Linked DNA regions of Macaca mulatta. Each later gene encodes a partner of the first gene's protein in a complex. Links are inferred from orthologs where the notes say so. Each region holds a gene or a part of one and is shown on either strand. Other genes may lie near its edges.

The links.
Region 2: VIRMA (region 1) and RBM15 share a complex: the UniProt entries of both Homo sapiens proteins name them as parts of the WMM complex. The link is inferred for Macaca mulatta from reciprocal best matches to the Homo sapiens genes VIRMA and RBM15.
Region 3: VIRMA (region 1) and METTL14 share a complex: the UniProt entries of both Homo sapiens proteins name them as parts of the WMM complex. The link is inferred for Macaca mulatta from reciprocal best matches to the Homo sapiens genes VIRMA and METTL14.

What each region holds. Positions count from the first base shown.
Region 1 is NC_133413.1:104,942,170-104,948,247, reverse strand, and holds the start of VIRMA (protein virilizer homolog), read left to right. Parts: upstream 1-2,213; 5' UTR 2,214-2,283; coding exon 2,284-2,346; intron 2,347-6,078. UniProt on the Homo sapiens protein: Associated component of the WMM complex, a complex that mediates N6-methyladenosine (m6A) methylation of RNAs, a modification that plays a role in the efficiency of mRNA splicing and RNA processing.
Region 2 is NC_133406.1:129,853,483-129,859,313, reverse strand, and holds the start of RBM15 (RNA-binding protein 15), read left to right. Parts: upstream 1-2,333; 5' UTR 2,334-3,204; coding exon 3,205-5,831. UniProt on the Homo sapiens protein: RNA-binding protein that acts as a key regulator of N6-methyladenosine (m6A) methylation of RNAs, thereby regulating different processes, such as hematopoietic cell homeostasis, alternative splicing of mRNAs and X chromosome inactivation mediated by Xist RNA.
Region 3 is NC_133410.1:127,703,401-127,709,506, forward strand, and holds the start of METTL14 (N(6)-adenosine-methyltransferase non-catalytic subunit METTL14), read left to right. Parts: upstream 1-2,755; 5' UTR 2,756-2,789; coding exon 2,790-2,855; exon of another isoform or gene 2,856-2,875; intron 2,876-2,952; exon of another isoform or gene 2,953-3,081; intron 3,082-5,124; coding exon 5,125-5,213; intron 5,214-6,106. Other genes in the region: uncharacterized protein LOC144340831, read left to right, coding at 2,655-2,668. UniProt on the Homo sapiens protein: The METTL3-METTL14 heterodimer forms a N6-methyltransferase complex that methylates adenosine residues at the N(6) position of some mRNAs and regulates the circadian clock, differentiation of embryonic stem cells and cortical neurogenesis.

The DNA.
Region 1 (6,078 bases):
ATTGAAACCCCATCTCTACTAAAAATACAAAAATTAGCTGGGCATGGTAGTGCACGACTGTAGTCCCAGCTACTCAAGAGGCTGAGTCAGGAAAATTGCTTCAACCAGGGAGGCAGAGGGTGCATTGAGCACCCTCATTGCTCAGGTGGTGGGTGCACCAAAACCTCAGAAATCACCACTAAAGAACTTTTCCATGCAACCAAACACCACCTGTTCCCTCAAAACTATTGAAATAAAAATAAAAATAAAAATGTAAAAACAAAAGGGTATCAAAGCTAAGAAAATCAGACTGTAAAATGACAACAATAAAAGCACTATATAGTACATTGGTTAAGGCAGAGCTTAGGGGAAAATTCATATACATAAATACATATAGTAATAAATAAAAATATGAATAAAAATAAACATCAGTGGTAGAAATTAGAAAGAGAACAGCATATAAGCCTAAACACAGAAGAAGGGGCGGGGCAGGGTAGCTCACGCCTATAATTGCAGCACTTTGGGAGGCTGAGGCAGGAGGATTGCTTGAAGCCAAGAGTTTGAGACCAGCCTGGGCAACAAAGCAAGACCCTGTTTCTAAAGAAAAAAAAAAGCAAGAATCAGAAAACAGAAAAATATTAGAAACAACAAATATCAATGCAACAACAAATAATAAAAGATAAACTATAGCTAGCTAATAGAGGAAACTGGATGGCTGAGGAAGGATGTGGATAGGAGATTTACTTTAGAAACTCATTTATTATTAAATATTTCAGACATACCAGAAGGTACAAACAATAATGTAAGGCATGCTTGTGAAATGAACACTAACCTAAATAATAAAACATTACCAAGGCATGTGAAGCCTTTCTGTTCTTCTCCATTACATCTCCCTCCAGTTCACCACTACCTTGAAATTTTAGTCATTCCAATGCATGACTTTATAATTTCATGACATATGTACACTCCTAAACATTTATATTCTTTCCCACGTTAATTATATAAATGTTATTTTACATTATATATTTTTTATTTCCTTTTCTAAGAGATGGGTGTCCCCACTGGCTGCCAACTCCTGGGCTTAAGAGATTCTCCTGTCTCAGCTTCCCCGAGAAGTTGGGACCACAGGAACACGCCACCGCACCCGGCTTGCGATGAGGTGTGTTAAACTTGTTTTGTTTAGGTTTTTGTCTTTTTTGTTTTTCCTTTTTGTGAAGAACGGGGACTCGCTATATTGCCAGTTCTCCAGCTCCTGGGCCCAAGCGATCCTCCCGCCTCATCCTCCCTAAGTGCTGGGATTACAGGCGTGAGCCAACGCGCCCGCTAACCCTGTTTTTTGGGATTTTTCATGCTAGTAAATATAGTACTAGTTCATTCTTCGTACCTGCTATATACTATTATATAAATACGCCACTGTTTAGTTATTACTTCTGTCAATGGCACTTATGTTTCCTGTTCTTTTGCAACTTACGAAGTTTGCTATGAATATTCTTGTATTTGTAGATACGTGGGCGAGAATTTTCCTAGAAGAGGGGTAGGCACGTGTAATTTTACAAGCTATTTCCTAGTTGCTCTGCTAAGGGTTTGTGCCGTTTAGACTACCAAACCGCCGTGTTTATCTCGTTGCTCAAAAGCTCAACACCCGACACGAGAGGCTTACTTTTCATTCTGCCTCCTGTTTTATTGTTCCTGGTACTTCACGTTATACAATTCCTCGATTTTTATTTCAATTACTCCTCACAATCAGCCTGTGGGTTAAGTACGATTTTTCACATTTTACAGATAAGAAAACAAAGAATCTCTTCATTTGTTGAGACAACAGTTTTTCTTCTATTTAAATCAATGTCTTACTTTTCAACCTCGCTCACTGTTATCTTTTTGCTCCCAGCGCTGGAAAAAGTGGGACATCCCCTTCGGTGGGTGTACGGGGTTGGTATCCAAAGTTGGCAGCTTTCCCTCCCCTTCCTCCACCCTCTCCAAAACCCCGTCTCCGCGCTTCGCCACCCGGGGACAGCTGTGGCTCTGTAAAGCGGCGGAACGACAGGGTTTGAACCACTGGAGACCCCGTAGTTCCCATCTCGCTTCCCTCTGCCCCCCTCTGCGTCTGGGGGCGCCCGCCGCCGCGCTGGAAAAGGCGGGGCCGGCAACTTTGGGCAACAAGATGCGTTGGGATAGGCCGAGGTTTGCGGCGCTAGTGCTCTGGTCACCGGAAGTGCCGCTGTTTCTCCCTCTCCTGAGCCGCTGTGGCCGAGGCTGGAGCGCTGCCCCGGAAGTTCTCCCCCCTGTTCCCCGCCCGCGGCAAACATGGCGGTGGACTCGGCGATGGAGCTGCTATTTTTAGATACTTTTAAACACCCGAGCGCTGAGGTAAGGCTTGGCGACTTGATTCTGACGCTGCTTCTCGACTTGGGACCTTTACAAAAAAACCGTTGGGCGTCCTCGACTTTTCCCTCTGCAGATTACTTCTTTAATTTCTCGCTTACACACAGACACCCTCCCCCGAGCGGTGTGAGCATCGCGTCTGAGGGAGGGCTGCAGCAGCCTCTTCATTTCCTTGCTTTAACTTGGACCTTCCGTGTCTTTGGTCGAGTTGGCTTTTCTGCTTGCATGGCTTTATTTTTTGTTTTTCCTATCAGGTTTGGGCCGTGAGAAGGATCAGGGTTCTCAGGTTTACCTCAGATGGCATTTGGGAGGGGTCTTGATTTGACAGTAGTGTTTGACAGTACTGCCGGAGTCTGAGCAGCTTACGTTGGCTTCGTGGTTTCCGAATCACGATGTTTCTAAACCCTTTCTCTTTGGCTCCTTTTCTGTCGGGAGTTATGTTCCCCAGTTGTGACACTCATTCGGTTTAGGATTACGGTGCTCTCTAATTTGGCCTGAAACTTTAATACTTGTCTCTCGGAAAGATTTCACACATTAGGAATGAGATGCATTCACGGAGAATACTTGCGAAGAGGGGAGCATTGAGAGAAGTATAGTTAAACTCATCCGCAGACATGTCTTTTGAGGGCGGGGGCGGAATGTTGTGGAGTAATATTTCTGTACAAAATTATTTGAACGCCCCTGAATGTACAATTGACCCAGCAATATGTAAATTAAACATAGCTGGTTAACTAAAGATTCCTGAAAGCAGACCAAAAATGAACTCGAATGAAGTCTACGGAGAAATTGTTCCCCCCCCCCAAAAAAAAGTGGACTTCACATTTCTCTGTCTTAATGTAAGCTTAATCAATTTACAGAACTGTTCTTTCTTTGGATATTATTTTTTTCCTTTTATTTGTGTCAAGTGTGTTCTTGTATCAAGCTTTTTGAGGATACATATAATTTCTTTTCTTCTCAGTTGTATCTCCAGTGCCTCTGTTAGCAAAACGTAGGTGCTCAATAAATATTTGGATGGAAAATGTTTAAAATGTTCTTTCTTTTGCAAGATAGTAATGATAGTGGGTAGTGGTTGTATCATAATGCTTTACCTGGCAAAATAGAAAGTTGACAGCTGTGATCTAATTTAACGAATGGTTTATAGGTTTATAAAAGTCAAAATTTGGAGAACTTCGAGTTAGCATTTCTTACTGACAATTAATTTATGGTCTCACATTTCATGTGGGTCAGTGTCAGTTAGCACTGTTTGTTCAATGACTATATCTCTCTGACATTCCAGCCAAGATTTAGAAAACCCTCAATGGAGACAGTAGTTGGATCAGATCAAACTTATCATGTGTATAGAAATAGAGGACAGTTAAATTTGAAGGAGCCTGGCGCAGTGGCTCATGCCTGTAATCTCAGCGTTTTGGGAGGCGGAAGCAGAAGGATTGTTTGAGTCCAGGAGTTTGAGACCACTCTGGGCAACATAGTGGAACCCCCGTCTCTACAAAAGAAAATTAACTAGCTGTGGTGGCTTGATGCTGTTGCCCCAACTACTCAGAACGCTGAAGTGGAAGGATCACTTGAGCCTGGGAGGTCGAGGCTGCCGTGAGATAAGATCACACCACTGTGCTCCAGCCGGAGCAACAGAGTGAGACCCTGTTTCGAAAGAAAGAAAGAGAAAGAGAAAAAAAAGAGAAAGAGGCATATGATGAATTAGTTTAGTACTATTCTAGTTTAGGAAAATTGGCCTTCATTAGTTTATCATATATTTAATCTATTCTTTTATTCATTCTTAGGTAAACATTGAGTACCTTGAGCGCATAGGGCAGATGGTAAATACCTTCTTCTGGGGTGATTGGGGAAGGCTTAGTAGAGATCACATTTGAATCAAGTCTTGAAGGAGGAAGTAGGGGTTTGTGGGTGATATGAAATATTGAAATGTTTGTTTTCAAGAAGTTATAACCCAGTGTTGGAGATTAGATCCACAAAATTGTGATTTGAGTTAGAATGTGATGATCGCATAAAGAAACACAGTGTGAATTCATTGGGGTTTATCATCTTTGTTTACAAAATGCCCATCAGTAGCTGACATATTAGAACTAGCTGTCTTTGTGGGTATAAATAAAGGATACATGATTTCAGAGGAGGCAGAGATAACTTTTCATTTGAGAGTATCAGGAAAGACTTCATCAAGGTGTTTGGCTTATGAACTTGGTCTTTGGTGAAAGGGGCAATATTTCACGGTTGTAGTTAGGAAAGGAGGGCATTCTACTGGAGTAGTCAGTCATCTGTTAGGATATGCTTGAAGTAGCAGTGTGAAGTGGCACCCAAGGCAGTTCAGAGACAGATCATGGAGCTCCTTGAATGCTCAACAAAAAATTATGGACTTTAGGCCAGGCGCGGTGGCTCAAGCTTGTAATCCTAGCACTTTGGGAGGCTGAGGCGGGTGGATTGCCTGATGTCAGGAGTTTGAGACCAGCCTGGGTAACACGGTGATACCCGTCTCTACTAAAATACAAAAAATTAGCCGGGCATGGCGGTGTGCGTCTGTAGTCCCAGCTACTCAGGAGGCTGAGGCAGGAGAATTGCTAGAACCCGGGAGATGGAGGTTGCTGTGAGCCAAGATCGCGCCACTGCACTCCAGCCTGCACGACAGAGCAAGACTCTGTCTCTTAAAAAAAAAAAAAAAAAAAAAGGACTTTTTTTTGTAGGAAATGGGTAGTTTTTGAGCAGGCAAATCATACAATTAGTAAGATACATTGGGTAGATTACTTGATCAATAATGCTTAAAATGGTTCAGAGAAAATAGACGTAAGGTGACAAAATCAGGGAGAAAAAGTGAGATGTTATGAAAACCTGAGTTAGCCAATGGGCAGCAATCATTGTTTAACATTTATTGAATGCCTAATTTGTGCCAGACACAGTGGGCTTTGATAACTTAAGTAAATCATCTCTGGTCCTTCCATCAGTTTTTCTTCTTTTTTTTTTTTTTTTGAGACTAGGTCTTGCTCTGTCACCCAAACTGGAGTGCAGTGCTGCGATCACGGCTTACTGCAATTTCTGCCACCGGGGCTCAATCGATCCTTCCATCTCTGCCTCCCGAGTAGCTGGGACTACAGTTGTGCACCAACACGCCTGGCTAATTTTTTAGTTTTTTTGTGGAGGTGGTGTTTTGCCATGTTGCCCAGGCTGGTCTTGAATTCCTGAGCTCAAGCGATTCTCCCACCTCAGCCTCCCAAAGTGCAAAGATTACAGGCGTGAGCCACTGCAGGGCCCACGCTGAGTTTTCAAAGGTAGTCATCTATATTTTGTAGATAAGGAAACTGAGCTTGAGAGATTAGGTGACTTTACTAAAATAACATAGCTAGATTAAGATCCACCATCACACATTTTTCTGGCTCTAAATCAGTGCTATGCTATGTCCCAGTGGAACTACATAGGAGAGGATTTATACATCTTTTGGATATATACAGATTTCGAGTATAGAATTGACAGGATGGCAACTGATTGTGTGAAGGAGATAGGGTAGTTAAAAATGGTAGAATTCTAGTTTTAGAGACAGGAGAACTAGTGGGACTAATGATGGTAAGAGTGTGGAAGTGAGTTTGATGGGAATGGGATAATTAGCCAGATTACTTTGCCCCATAGGAAGCTGAGAATCTGTTTAACAATTATTTATGAAAAACACTTTTGGAGGTGAGGGTATGGCTTTAGGAGGGGCAATACAAGTCAGAA
Region 2 (5,831 bases), on another chromosome or scaffold:
AGGTAGTATCTGCTGGGAGCCAGGGAAGGGGGTAATTTTGGGGGCAAGAATACAAAGGAAATGAAAACAAATCATTTAACTACAGCATGGATCCAACTTATGTCATTATTCAGTTGTTGTGGAAACACACACACATGTACACACATACACATCACAGACAATATTTTGGCTGTTACTGTAATAGAATCTAGGCCTTTTCCATCTAAGCATAAAACTTACTAGTCCTCTTGGCTCCAGGCAGATTTTCAGTCCCCCTCGGCAAGCCTTTGTACTATAGCCAGCCGCGGGCAGTAGCTTCCATCAAGCTCTCCGGTATTTGAAGTGGCAAGCCACTAAGCTTGGCATGCCTCTGGTGCATGTTCACACAGACTGGGTGTCTGCTTGTCTCCCTGAATTATTTCTCTCAAATCTTGTGCTCCCTCAACCCCTATCATGAGGTCTGGAAAACTACTGATTTGGTCATTATCTTTTTCTTTGATCAGTGAGTCACCTTAGCAGGTCAATTTAGGTTAAAAAGTCACTCTAGTGCCTGGTTTATTATCTCAATTGACTGTTATATTGAGTAATTAGATAATGGCTTAACTTCAATTTCCATTTGTGGTCTATTAATATAACCCTGAAACATTTAAACCCAGGTAAAACTTTTTCTTTTATTTCATGCTTTTACAAATAATATGTTCATGTATTTTTTATCCTCCAGCATCCAGATTTTTATCTTTAAATACCATTTCCCACTAAAAGGAACCAGAGCTCTCTGGAGAAATGGCTGACTCCACAACTGGGGCAGGAAATGTATATCAGGTAAGTCTGCAGAAAACAATGGAGAAAGGAAGAGTGGGAAGAGTGATGCAGATGAAACAAGATTGACATGATTTGATAATTGTTGAAGTAGGGTGTTGGGTACACGTGGGAGTTCTTTATTCTTTTATGTATTTTAAACTTTTTCCATAAAAATAGTTTAAGGAAAGTTAAAAATGTTATTTTCTAAACTGAAGGAGTAATAGCGCGCCCTTTGTAGAAACAAAAGATTTCTACAAAGAAAAGTGAAGTCTCCCTCCGACTCCAGATCCTTACACCCCTCCTCAGGGCAATCCTAGGAACAATTTCCCACGTAGTTGTCAAGAAAGTTTCCACGAAAATATTTTTAAATGTACATACTCATAAAATACAAATATTTTTAAAACCACAAATGGTAGCGTATTATACACGTTATTTTATGCCTTCTGAAGTTTTATTTCCTATTTTAATACAATGAATATGTCTACACATTACAATATTGTGGATTTTTATGCTTTACAATTGAGCTTCTTCCTTCAAGTTTCTTTGATTTATTCAAGAGATAAAAGGCCTACAGCTTCATATTCCTCAGGATTATTTACAAAAAGAAGGATGGCTCAGCCAAGGCTAAATTTAGGTTACAGTTCCTAATATTAACAGTTTTCAAGTTTAGGTTTCAGCTTTTGGGACATTATTGTTATCCTGAAAAATGTCATGTTTAAAAACACCTCACACCTCTACTATAGATTGGATCTTGGGAAATAGGGTTGAGGACGGGATCAATATAACCTCCGCCCCGGCGCATACCCGGGAGAGCTGCAGACGGTCTAAAGGATGTGGTGACCTCAGCGCTGCGTCCCTGCAGCAACCGGCGAGTGCTGGGGCACAGGCCATATCCCCCTAAGCTCGGCATCGCCTGCACCTCTCACAGGTGCTCTGTCCGCCACAGTAACGCTCTATGGAAATTAAAGTTGTAAGGCGAACGACAGAAGGAGCCAAACGAAGTGGATCCGGAGCGGCCACAAGGTGCCTGTGCTGCTGGCTTTTAACACACAAAAAGAGGAGTGCCAAGGAATACAAGAAGCCACAGGGGGAATAAAAAGCGACATATCTGCATGGAGCCTAAATTTCGCTCGATGATTTTCAGGGAAGAAGCATTACATATTAAAAACAAACATTGCTATTTTACGGGAATACCGGATTTAAAAATCCACACAGATTCGCAACATAAAACAGGCAGCCCAAAGACACGTCCGCGGTGTCCTGACAGTTCCGGCTCCGCCCGCGGGCCACGAGGCGGGGATCGACGGTCACTCCCCTCGGTTGCCCAGAGTACTTGGGCGGCAACGGGGAGCGCCGGGGGGAGACAAGCTCCTGGGCTAGGGCTGCGTCTCAGCCACCTTACTTAGCTCTCGAGGTCCCGCGTGTTACGTGTTAGCACCGCCCCGGGGCGTCAGCGTGACCCGGGGCTGCAGGAACCGTGAACTCCCTGCCCCGCGGGCCCAGGTGACCGCGGGCATCGCTATCCCGCGCGCGGGGGGCGGGGCTTCCCCCGGCTGTACACTCAGCTACCACAGCGACATAAGATGGTGTCCGCTAGGCGTCCCAGGACGGCTTCCTAAGGGACTGGAGGGCCCCGACAGCCGGAGAGTCTGCCCCGCCCCTTGGCCGGCACAGGTAGGACGGCGGGGAGCTCAGAAGTTTCGAACTCCAAGGGCCGAAGCACAGCCAAATACCCCACGGAACTTAACAAATGTTTGTGGGGAGAACGCCAAAAACGCGGGGAGGCGGGGCTGGCGCACAGTCACCCTCTCGCGACATCTAAGTGACGTCGCATAGCAAGCACGTGTTCTAGTCTTTCACCTTCAGTCAGCCTCCTCCGTTATATGGGCCTACCCCTTTAAGCGAGTGATGGACAGTTACTTCAGCCTATCAACTTCCTTGCAGACATCCAATCAGATTTAAACTTCTTTTAGCCGCCGGAGGAGTTGGAAAAAGGGGGTCGAAAGAGGGAGCTCACCGTCTCTCGCGATATCGCTGTGAGCCTGCCTCTCGAAAAAACGCCGAAACTTGGCCCCACCTCCCAAATAGTGGTTTAAAGGACGGGTTTATAAGCCAATGAAAGGGATGAGGAGGCGGGGTTGCTGCTTTCACTGAGCAAGAAGTACCGTTACAGGGCAGACTTTTTGTCCAATCAACACAGCTACACTTTGGGTCACGTGACCGCAGAGTGCGAGGGGCGGAGCTACAGCCTGGCGCGAGGAACCGTTAAGATAGACAACAAATGTAACCAATGAGGTACTCTGACTAGGGGGTTGGGAACCCAATAACAGTGGTTGGGCGGGCGCCTTCCTGGAGCGCGGGGAGATGTAAAGATAGACAAATAATTTTCCCAATGAGACTGTAGAAGAGAGAGCTAATTGGCCAATGAGGACTGCGGGGCGGGACCCTGTGCCGCGGCGGAGTCCAAGATGGCGGCGTGCGGTTCCGCTGTGTGAAACGAGCGCGGGGCGGCGGGTTGATCAGCTCCGCGGAGACGACCTCCGAGGACCCGCAACAATGAAGGGAAAAGAGCGCTCGCCAGTCAAGGCCAAACGCTCCCGTGGTGGTGAGGACTCGACTTCCCGCGGAGAGCGGAGCAAGAAGTTAGGGGGCTCTGGTGGCAGCAATGGGAGCAGCAGCGGAAAGACCGATAGCGGCGGCGGGTCGCGGCGGAGTCTCCACCTGGACAAGTCCAGCAGTCGAGGTGGCAGCCGCGAGTATGACACCGGTGGGGGCAGCTCCAGTAGCCGCTTGCATAGTTATAGCTCCCCGAGCACCAAAAATTCTTCGGGCGGGGGCGAGTCGCGCAGCAGCTCCCGGGGTGGAGGCGGGGAGTCACGTTCCTCTGGGGCCGCCTCCTCAGCTCCCGGCGGCGGGGACGGCGCGGAATACAAGACTCTGAAGATAAGCGAGTTGGGGTCCCAGCTTAGTGACGAAGCGGTGGAGGACGGCCTGTTTCATGAGTTCAAACGTTTCGGTGATGTAAGTGTCAAAATCAGTCATCTGTCGGGTTCTGGCAGCGGGGATGAGCGGGTAGCCTTTGTGAACTTCCGGCGGCCAGAGGACGCGCGGGCGGCCAAGCATGCCAGAGGCCGCCTGGTGCTCTATGACCGGCCTCTGAAGATAGAAGCTGTGTATGTGAGCCGGCGCCGCAGCCGCTCCCCTTTAGACAAAGATACTTATCCTCCTTCAGCCAGCGTGGTCGGGGCCTCTGTAGGTGGTCACCGGCACCCCCCTGGAGGTGGTGGAGGCCAGAGATCACTTTCCCCTGGTGGCGCTGCTTTAGGATACAGAGACTACCGGCTGCAGCAGTTGGCTCTTGGCCGCCTGCCCCCTCCACCTCCGCCACCATTGCCTCGAGAGCTGGAGAGAGAAAGAGACTACCCGTTCTATGAGAGAGTGCGCCCTGCATACAGTCTTGAGCCAAGGGTGGGAGCTGGAGCAGGTGCTGCTCCTTTCAGAGAAGTGGATGAGATTTCACCCGAGGATGATCAGCGAGCTAACCGGACGCTTTTCTTGGGCAACCTAGACATCACTGTAACGGAGAATGATCTAAGAAGGGCGTTTGATCGCTTTGGAGTCATCACAGAAGTAGATATCAAGAGGCCTTCTCGCGGCCAGACTAGTACTTACGGCTTTCTCAAATTTGAGAACTTAGATATGTCTCACCGGGCCAAATTAGCAATGTCCGGCAAAATTATAATTCGGAATCCTATCAAAATTGGTTATGGTAAAGCTACACCTACCACCCGCCTCTGGGTGGGAGGCCTGGGACCTTGGGTTCCTCTTGCTGCCCTGGCACGAGAATTTGATCGATTTGGCACCATACGCACCATAGACTACCGAAAAGGTGATAGTTGGGCATATATCCAGTATGAAAGCCTGGATGCAGCGCATGCTGCCTGGACCCATATGCGGGGCTTCCCACTTGGTGGCCCAGATCGACGCCTTAGAGTAGACTTTGCCGACACCGAACATCGTTACCAGCAGCAGTATCTGCAGCCTCTGCCCTTGACTCATTATGAGCTGGTGACAGATGCTTTTGGACATCGGGCACCTGACCCTTTGAGGGGTGCTCGGGATAGGACACCACCCTTACTATACAGAGATCGTGATAGGGACCTTTATCCTGACTCTGATTGGGTGCCACCCCCACCCCCAGTCCGAGAACGCAGCACTCGGACTGCAGCTACTTCTGTGCCTGCTTACGAGCCACTGGATAGCCTTGATCGCAGGCGGGATGGTTGGTCCTTGGACCGGGACAGAGGTGATCGAGATCTGCCCAGCAGCAGAGACCAGCCTAGGAAGCGAAGGCTGCCTGAGGAGAGTGGAGGACGTCATCTGGATAGGTCTCCTGAGAGTGACCGCCCACGAAAACGTCACTGCGCTCCTTCTCCTGACCGCAGTCCAGAATTGAGCAGTAGCCGGGATCGTTACAACAGCGACAATGATCGATCTTCCCGTCTTCTCTTGGAAAGGCCCTCTCCAATCAGAGACAGACGAGGTAGTTTGGAGAAGAGCCAGGGTGACAAGCGAGACCGTAAAAACTCTGCATCAGCTGAACGAGATAGGAAGCACCGGACAACTGCTCCCACTGAGGGAAAAAGCCCTCTGAAAAAAGAAGACCGCTCTGATGGGAGTGCACCTAGCACCAGCACTGCTTCCTGCAAGCTGAAGTCCCCGTCCCAGAAACAGGATGGGGGGACAGCCCCTGCGGCAGCAGCCTCTCCCAAACTCTGTTTGGCCTGGCAGGGCATGCTTCTACTGAAGAACAGCAACTTTCCTTCCAACATGCATCTGTTGCAGGGTGACCTCCAAGTGGCTAGTAGTCTTCTTGTGGAGGGTTCAACTGGAGGCAAAGTGGCCCAGCTCAAGATCACTCAGCGTCTCCGTTTGGACCAGCCCAAGTTGGATGAAGTAACTCGACGCATCAAAGTAGCAGGGCCCAATGGTTATGCCATTCTTCTGGCTGTGCCTGGAAGTTCTGACAGCCGGTCTTCCTCTTCCTCAGC
Region 3 (6,106 bases), on another chromosome or scaffold:
GTTAAACAAACTATGGTACATACATACAATGGAATACGGCTCAGCAGTGAAAAAGGAATGAACTACTGATACATGCAACAACTTGGATGCATCTCCAGAGAATCATGCCAAGTGTAAAAAGATAAGCCCTAAAGATTACATACTGTATTATTCCATTTCTACAGTATTTTTGAAATGACAAAATTACAAAATGGAGAACAGATAAGTGGTTGTTATGGGTAAAGGAGAGGGTGGCAGCAGGAGGGAAATGACTGTGGCTATAAAAGGGCAACATGAGGAACACTTGTGGTGATGGAAGTGATGTATCAATGTCAGCATCTTGGTTATGATATTGGACTATAGTTTTGCAAGATGTTGTCACTGGGGAAACTGGACAAAGGCTACATGGGATCTTTCTGTGTTATTTCTTACAAGTGTATATAATTATATCAAAATAAAAAATTTTCCTTTTTAAAAAAGTTAACCATTTGACATGGCTCTAATATATATATCTCTATCTATCTATCTATCTATCTATCTATCTATCTATCTATCTATAAAATAACATCTTTCACTTAAATGCACCATAGAATTTGTTGTGGAAGTTTTGGCTAGGGCATGAGGTGAGTAAATGCAGTTTTTGCAAGTGAGGATTGAGACCACCTGGTTGTAGGACTTGTAGAAGAAGTAGAGCATAACTGGCTGTAAGGCTTTAAATTACATTACCCACTTTGAAAGTCTACACTGGTTGAGAATTAGAGGCTGGAAGAGAAAATTTTTGCAAATTATTGTTAGGCTGCGATACCACCCCTCTCCTCAAGGAAGTCCCTTTTCACCCTAATTCAAGAGAGGAAGCTTAAAGAGACCACTAGAAGAACTTAAGGTCTCGGGGAGATCGATGTGTTGACCTCTCATTTGGAAAATCCAAAGAGCTAGACCTGGCTAGTTCCTCAGAGGGCAGAGACACAAAAGGGTAATGTGAATGTTTGGAGGAGCCGTTTGATTTCCTGCCTGTGCCTCCTGTGGGCAGAGTCTCACAGGAAGCCATCTAACAAAGAAGGCTGGGAAATGTAGTTTGTGGACTCCCTGCCTAGCCATCATCTCGAAGCAGAGGGTAGGAGAGTATGGGGTTCAAAGATTACAGGCAAGTAACCTGCATAGCACCTTTTCAGGGAAAAAAAAAAAAAAAAAAAATCCTCCATTAGACAGTAAACTCCATAAAGAAAAACTGACTTCTTTGGTTTTTAATCTTTGACGGACTTTATAGACTCTAGGGCCTATCACAGTGCTTGCCATATAAAATGCTCAATCAATATCAACAGATATTTAAGTGAATAAATGCCTGTTCTTACCATTGGTAAAATTTAAATCAGTATTCAACTTAAATGATTGCCAGGTAATACAACCGATTTTTAAAGAAATTAACGCATATGGACATAAATGTTTTACAGTATCCAAATAGTGCTGACATTACTCAAGGAATTGTTTAGGACTACTCGTTCAAAATTGCCTTTCAGACCTAGTTCTTGAGAAATACATTATAATTATTTCTATAAAAGTGGGCATGACTAGTAGAATCTAGTTCTACTGGTTTTGATCTGGATGACTTAATATTATTTCTGAAAATTAAATCCACTCTCAAAGAACAGACTTGTTACTAATTTTGGTAAGTACTTACCACGATTTCCAATTAAACTTGAGGCAACATGATGTCTTAGTCCACTTCCGCCATTGTAAGTTTGAAATAAGATGGCAAATGTGGTGAATAATAATGGTAATAACTCAAATACGACTTTGGCCTTTGCTGCCTTCCTATGACGACAGAATCACCACCCTCCAGCCCTCACCCCTCACCCCAGCAATCCGAGTAATTTCAGGAAGCTATTCGTTTCCTTATCCTTAGGTTATTTTCAGTTAAGACAAATGTACAAGCACAAAAAGGAGTGCCTTAGCTTCTGACTCCTAGGGCATAAACCAAGACACACTTTACTATCACACACTCATTTCTCTAAAGGGAAGAAGCCATAAAATGTCTACTATAGTAAAATAGGAAACATTTCAAGGGACAGTAAGGTGTGGGTAAGAATGGGCAGATGTTGTGGCTGTTACCTGCGTGAAGGTAAATAAAATATTAACAATAATAAGCACTTCTACAGCGCTATGTGCCAGGTGCTGTTTACGCTTTCAATCACAGCTCTGTGAGGTAGACACTTACGACTCCCATTTTACAGATGAGAAAATTGAGGCTCACGAAGGTGTTTAACTAGCCAAGGCCACTTGGCTAAGAAGTGAGAGGCCAAGGTTCAATCCTAGGCAATCTGCCTTAAGTTCCTGTTCTGTTAAAAAATAATAATAATAATTAAAGGTATCTGGCAATTTTTTTAAACGTTAGGACTGTCATCTGTGGAATCAACTGAAAAGGGAATCAATACTTCAGAAACTGTGATACACCAAGGGAACCTGCTATCCCGGGGAAGAGAGAGAAAGGAGAAGTCAGCTGACTACTCCTTCAGACTAGCTCAGACCACCCCAGCCCGCGACGGCCCTGGACACCCCTGTAACGCAACAGATCCCTTACTGGGTCCCTTCCAAGTGGCGTCACATCGCAAGCGTCCAGAAGGAGGCGGGACTTCCGGGCCAAGCAAGCCATATCGGCCGCGCCGGAAGTCCCTACTGAGGAAAGCTTTGAGGATACTCTGTTCATAAGCTCACGGTGAATATAGCGTTCCACAGACTCGGAAGAAAGGTTGGGACAAGAGTTCAGTGGCGATTGACAAGTACTCGGGGTAGTGAAAAGTAGGAGTTGGAACATGGATAGCCGCTTGCAGGAGATCCGGGAGCGGCAGAAGTTACGGCGACAGCTCCTCGCGCAGCAGGTCCGCGGCCCTGGTGGCCCCTGTGGGAGGGATCGAGAATGCGAGTGCGCGGCCGCCTCCTCCCTCCACACCCCGCCTTTTTCTGTCCCCTCTCTACCTGCCGCTGTTAAGGCCTTTCTGGTCCTTCGATCCTGATCCCTGGTTCTCCCTTTGTAGTTCTCAATTTTCGTGGTGCCCCGAATGTTTTTCAAGTTCCTTCCGCGGTCTTTGTGGTGCTAAACCGAATGCCACGAATAGCCTTTAACCTTTGTGGAACGCCCACCGAGTGTCTGGCATGTTCACGCCACGATGAGTGTCTTGTTATTCCCTACATTTCTCTTCACTATTTAACTGGTCATCTATTTCTTACTTTTCCTCGTCGTCAGTCCCAAATCCTTGAAATTGTGGTTTCATTATGAAATATTTTTACAGTTTACAGTATTTTCTTTGACATCTTTCTGAAGACTACACTGGAAGTAGTCTGAGTGTAAATTTTATATTCTGCGTCTTATGTACAATATCCTTGTCACATCCACAGTTAATATTTGAAATCTTACTCTGTGTTAGTCACAATAATCTCCTGAAACAGGTAGTATTACCTTCACTTATCAAGTAATGAAATAGGCTCCATAGGTTAAGGAATTTTACTCCTGGTCGCTCACTTCTCGGCTGGGAAATAGAACCTAGGTTGTCTCCCCAAAGCTTATCTTCTAAACCATTGCCCTTCACTTCTTTCTTGTGCATGAGTAAGTTAACATTTGCTGATTAGTAGCAGAAAATACAGCTTGTGTACAGTTCTACTTAAAATCGAGGCTGTATTTTCAATTCTACTATTCATATCAGTAAAAGTGGTAGGAGAAATGCTCATAGACTGTAATTAGTCATCTTGCTGTTATTTTTCAGTAAACTTGGTTTTAGTAAATGGACTTCTGAAATCTGATGAACACATTTGTGGTATACTGCTGAAACTGTGGGAACTTGGAATCAGATTTATTCCTTATCCCGCTGGCATTACGATCTTGGACAAATCAAATATCCTTTCTAAGTCTTCTTTTCCCTAACTTCTTTTATCGTATTATCTTCAATAATATTCAGTAGCTCTTTGTTGCTACCACAGATGTTTTACTCCTTAATATGGAATTCAGATTTCTATTTCACTCAAGATACATTCATAGGACAATTATTTGTTGAGTGTTTTACACTCAACAAATCCCAGGGGCTCCAGCTTTTAAAGTTTTTTTATGAATTGGTTGCACTCTACTTAGCCTTGTAACCATTATTTGTTTGTATTTTGCAAAATTTTCCCAACTGCCAAACAAAATTTATGTTGCCGTTTTAAGGTAGTGAAGTTCAGCATTGTGTCCATAAATAGTAAGACTTAGCTTGAGTAAAACTGGATCGATTTTTATTAGAGCATAGCATAAATAAGTTACATTATATAAGCTGATGCCTACAAAATGTTTAACATGGTACCCACAACCCTGTGCAAACACAGTCTTACCTGCTTTTTTTGGTTATTGCTACTGCAGGTTGAATATCTCTTAATCTGAAATGCTTGGGCCAGAAGTGTTTTGGATTTCAGACTTTTTTCAGGATTTGGAATATTTGCATATTACTGGTTGAACATGCCAAATATCAAAAGTTTTCAAAATATGAATGCTTCAGTGACCATTTGCTTTGAATGTCATGTCAGTACTCAAAAAGTTCCAGATTCTGGAGCATTTTGGATTTTGGATTTTCGGATTTGGAATGCTCAATCTATATTAATTCGTGTATATTACTTTACAGGAATTTGGCTAAAGTGTCTTATTTTCAAATACAGATGGTTCCAGACTTACTATGATTTGACTTAACAATCAACTTTATGATGGTTTGAAAGTGATAGGCATCCAGGCTGCTCAATGACTTATGATGGAATTATGTCCTGATAAGCCCATCATAAGTGGAAAATACTATAAGTTGAAAACGCACTTACCACGTTTATTTTGAAACAGATTTACTTTCAACTTACAATGGGTTTATCAGGACATAACCTCATAAATCAAGGAGCATCCGTATAACTGAAAGCATAAAATGTTTGCCAGCTGTCAAACTCATTCTTAATTAATGCAGTTTTTTTTCCAGGGTTTTTCCAGTTTGTCTTGCAGGCTGATTAATTCTTTGTTATTGTGTGTATGTGAATTAAGGTGTTTTTGTTTTTTAAGTATTTAATATATTAAATGCTGCTACAAATGTCTAGAAAGGCTGTCCAATGCATTGTAATCTAATTTCTGATTTTGCCTTTTCTCAGCTGGGAGCTGAAAGTGCCGACAGCATTGGTGCCGTGTTAAATAGCAAAGATGAGCAGAGAGAAATTGCTGAAACAAGAGAGACTTGCAGGTCAGTCAAATAATTCTTTTTTTTGTGTGTGAGACAGGGTTTCACTCTGTTACCTAGGCTGGATAGGTTGGAGTGCAGTAGAGTGATCATGGCTCTCTGCAGCCTTGACTTCCTGAGCTCAAGTGGTACGCCTGCCTTGGCCTCCCAATGTGCTGAGATTATAGGTATGAGCCACTGTGCCGAGGCAGGTGGATCATTTGAGCCCAGGAAGTCAGGAGTTCGAGGCCAGTCTGGTTAACATGGTGAAACCCCGTCTCTACTAAAAATACAAAAATTAGCCGAACGTGGTGGCGGGCGCCTGTAATCCCAGCTACTTGGGAGGTTGAGGCAGGAGAATTGCTTAAAACCGGCAAGCGGAGGCTGTAGTGAGCTAAACCAAGATTGTGCCACTGCACTCCAGCCTGGGAGACAAGAGTGAGACTCCATCTCAAAAAGAAAAAAAAACTGTGAAAGAATTACTGTTTTAATAAACAGATACCCCTAGGTAGGTGTGCAGTGTATTGAGAAAAGCATCAAAATAATGATTTTAGACACAATGGTTTTTATTGTCAGTTCATTAATTATGAAATATTTATTTTCTGAGGATAGTAAGTTCCCATTTGTAAAGTACTTAGAAAATGGAATGTTAGACTAAAAATTAGCATATATACTATAAATAAATAAGTATATTTAAGTTTTTTTTTTTTTTTTTTTTTTTTTTGGAGACGTAGTCTTTCTCTGTCACCAGGCTTGAGTGCAGTGATGCGATCTTGGCTTACTGCAACCTCTGCCTCCAGGGTTGAAGTGATTCTCTTGCCTCAGCCTCCCAAGTAGCTGGGACTACAGGTGCGCGCCACCACTTCCAGCTAATTTTTGTATTTTTAGTAAACATGGGATTTCATCATGTTGGCCAG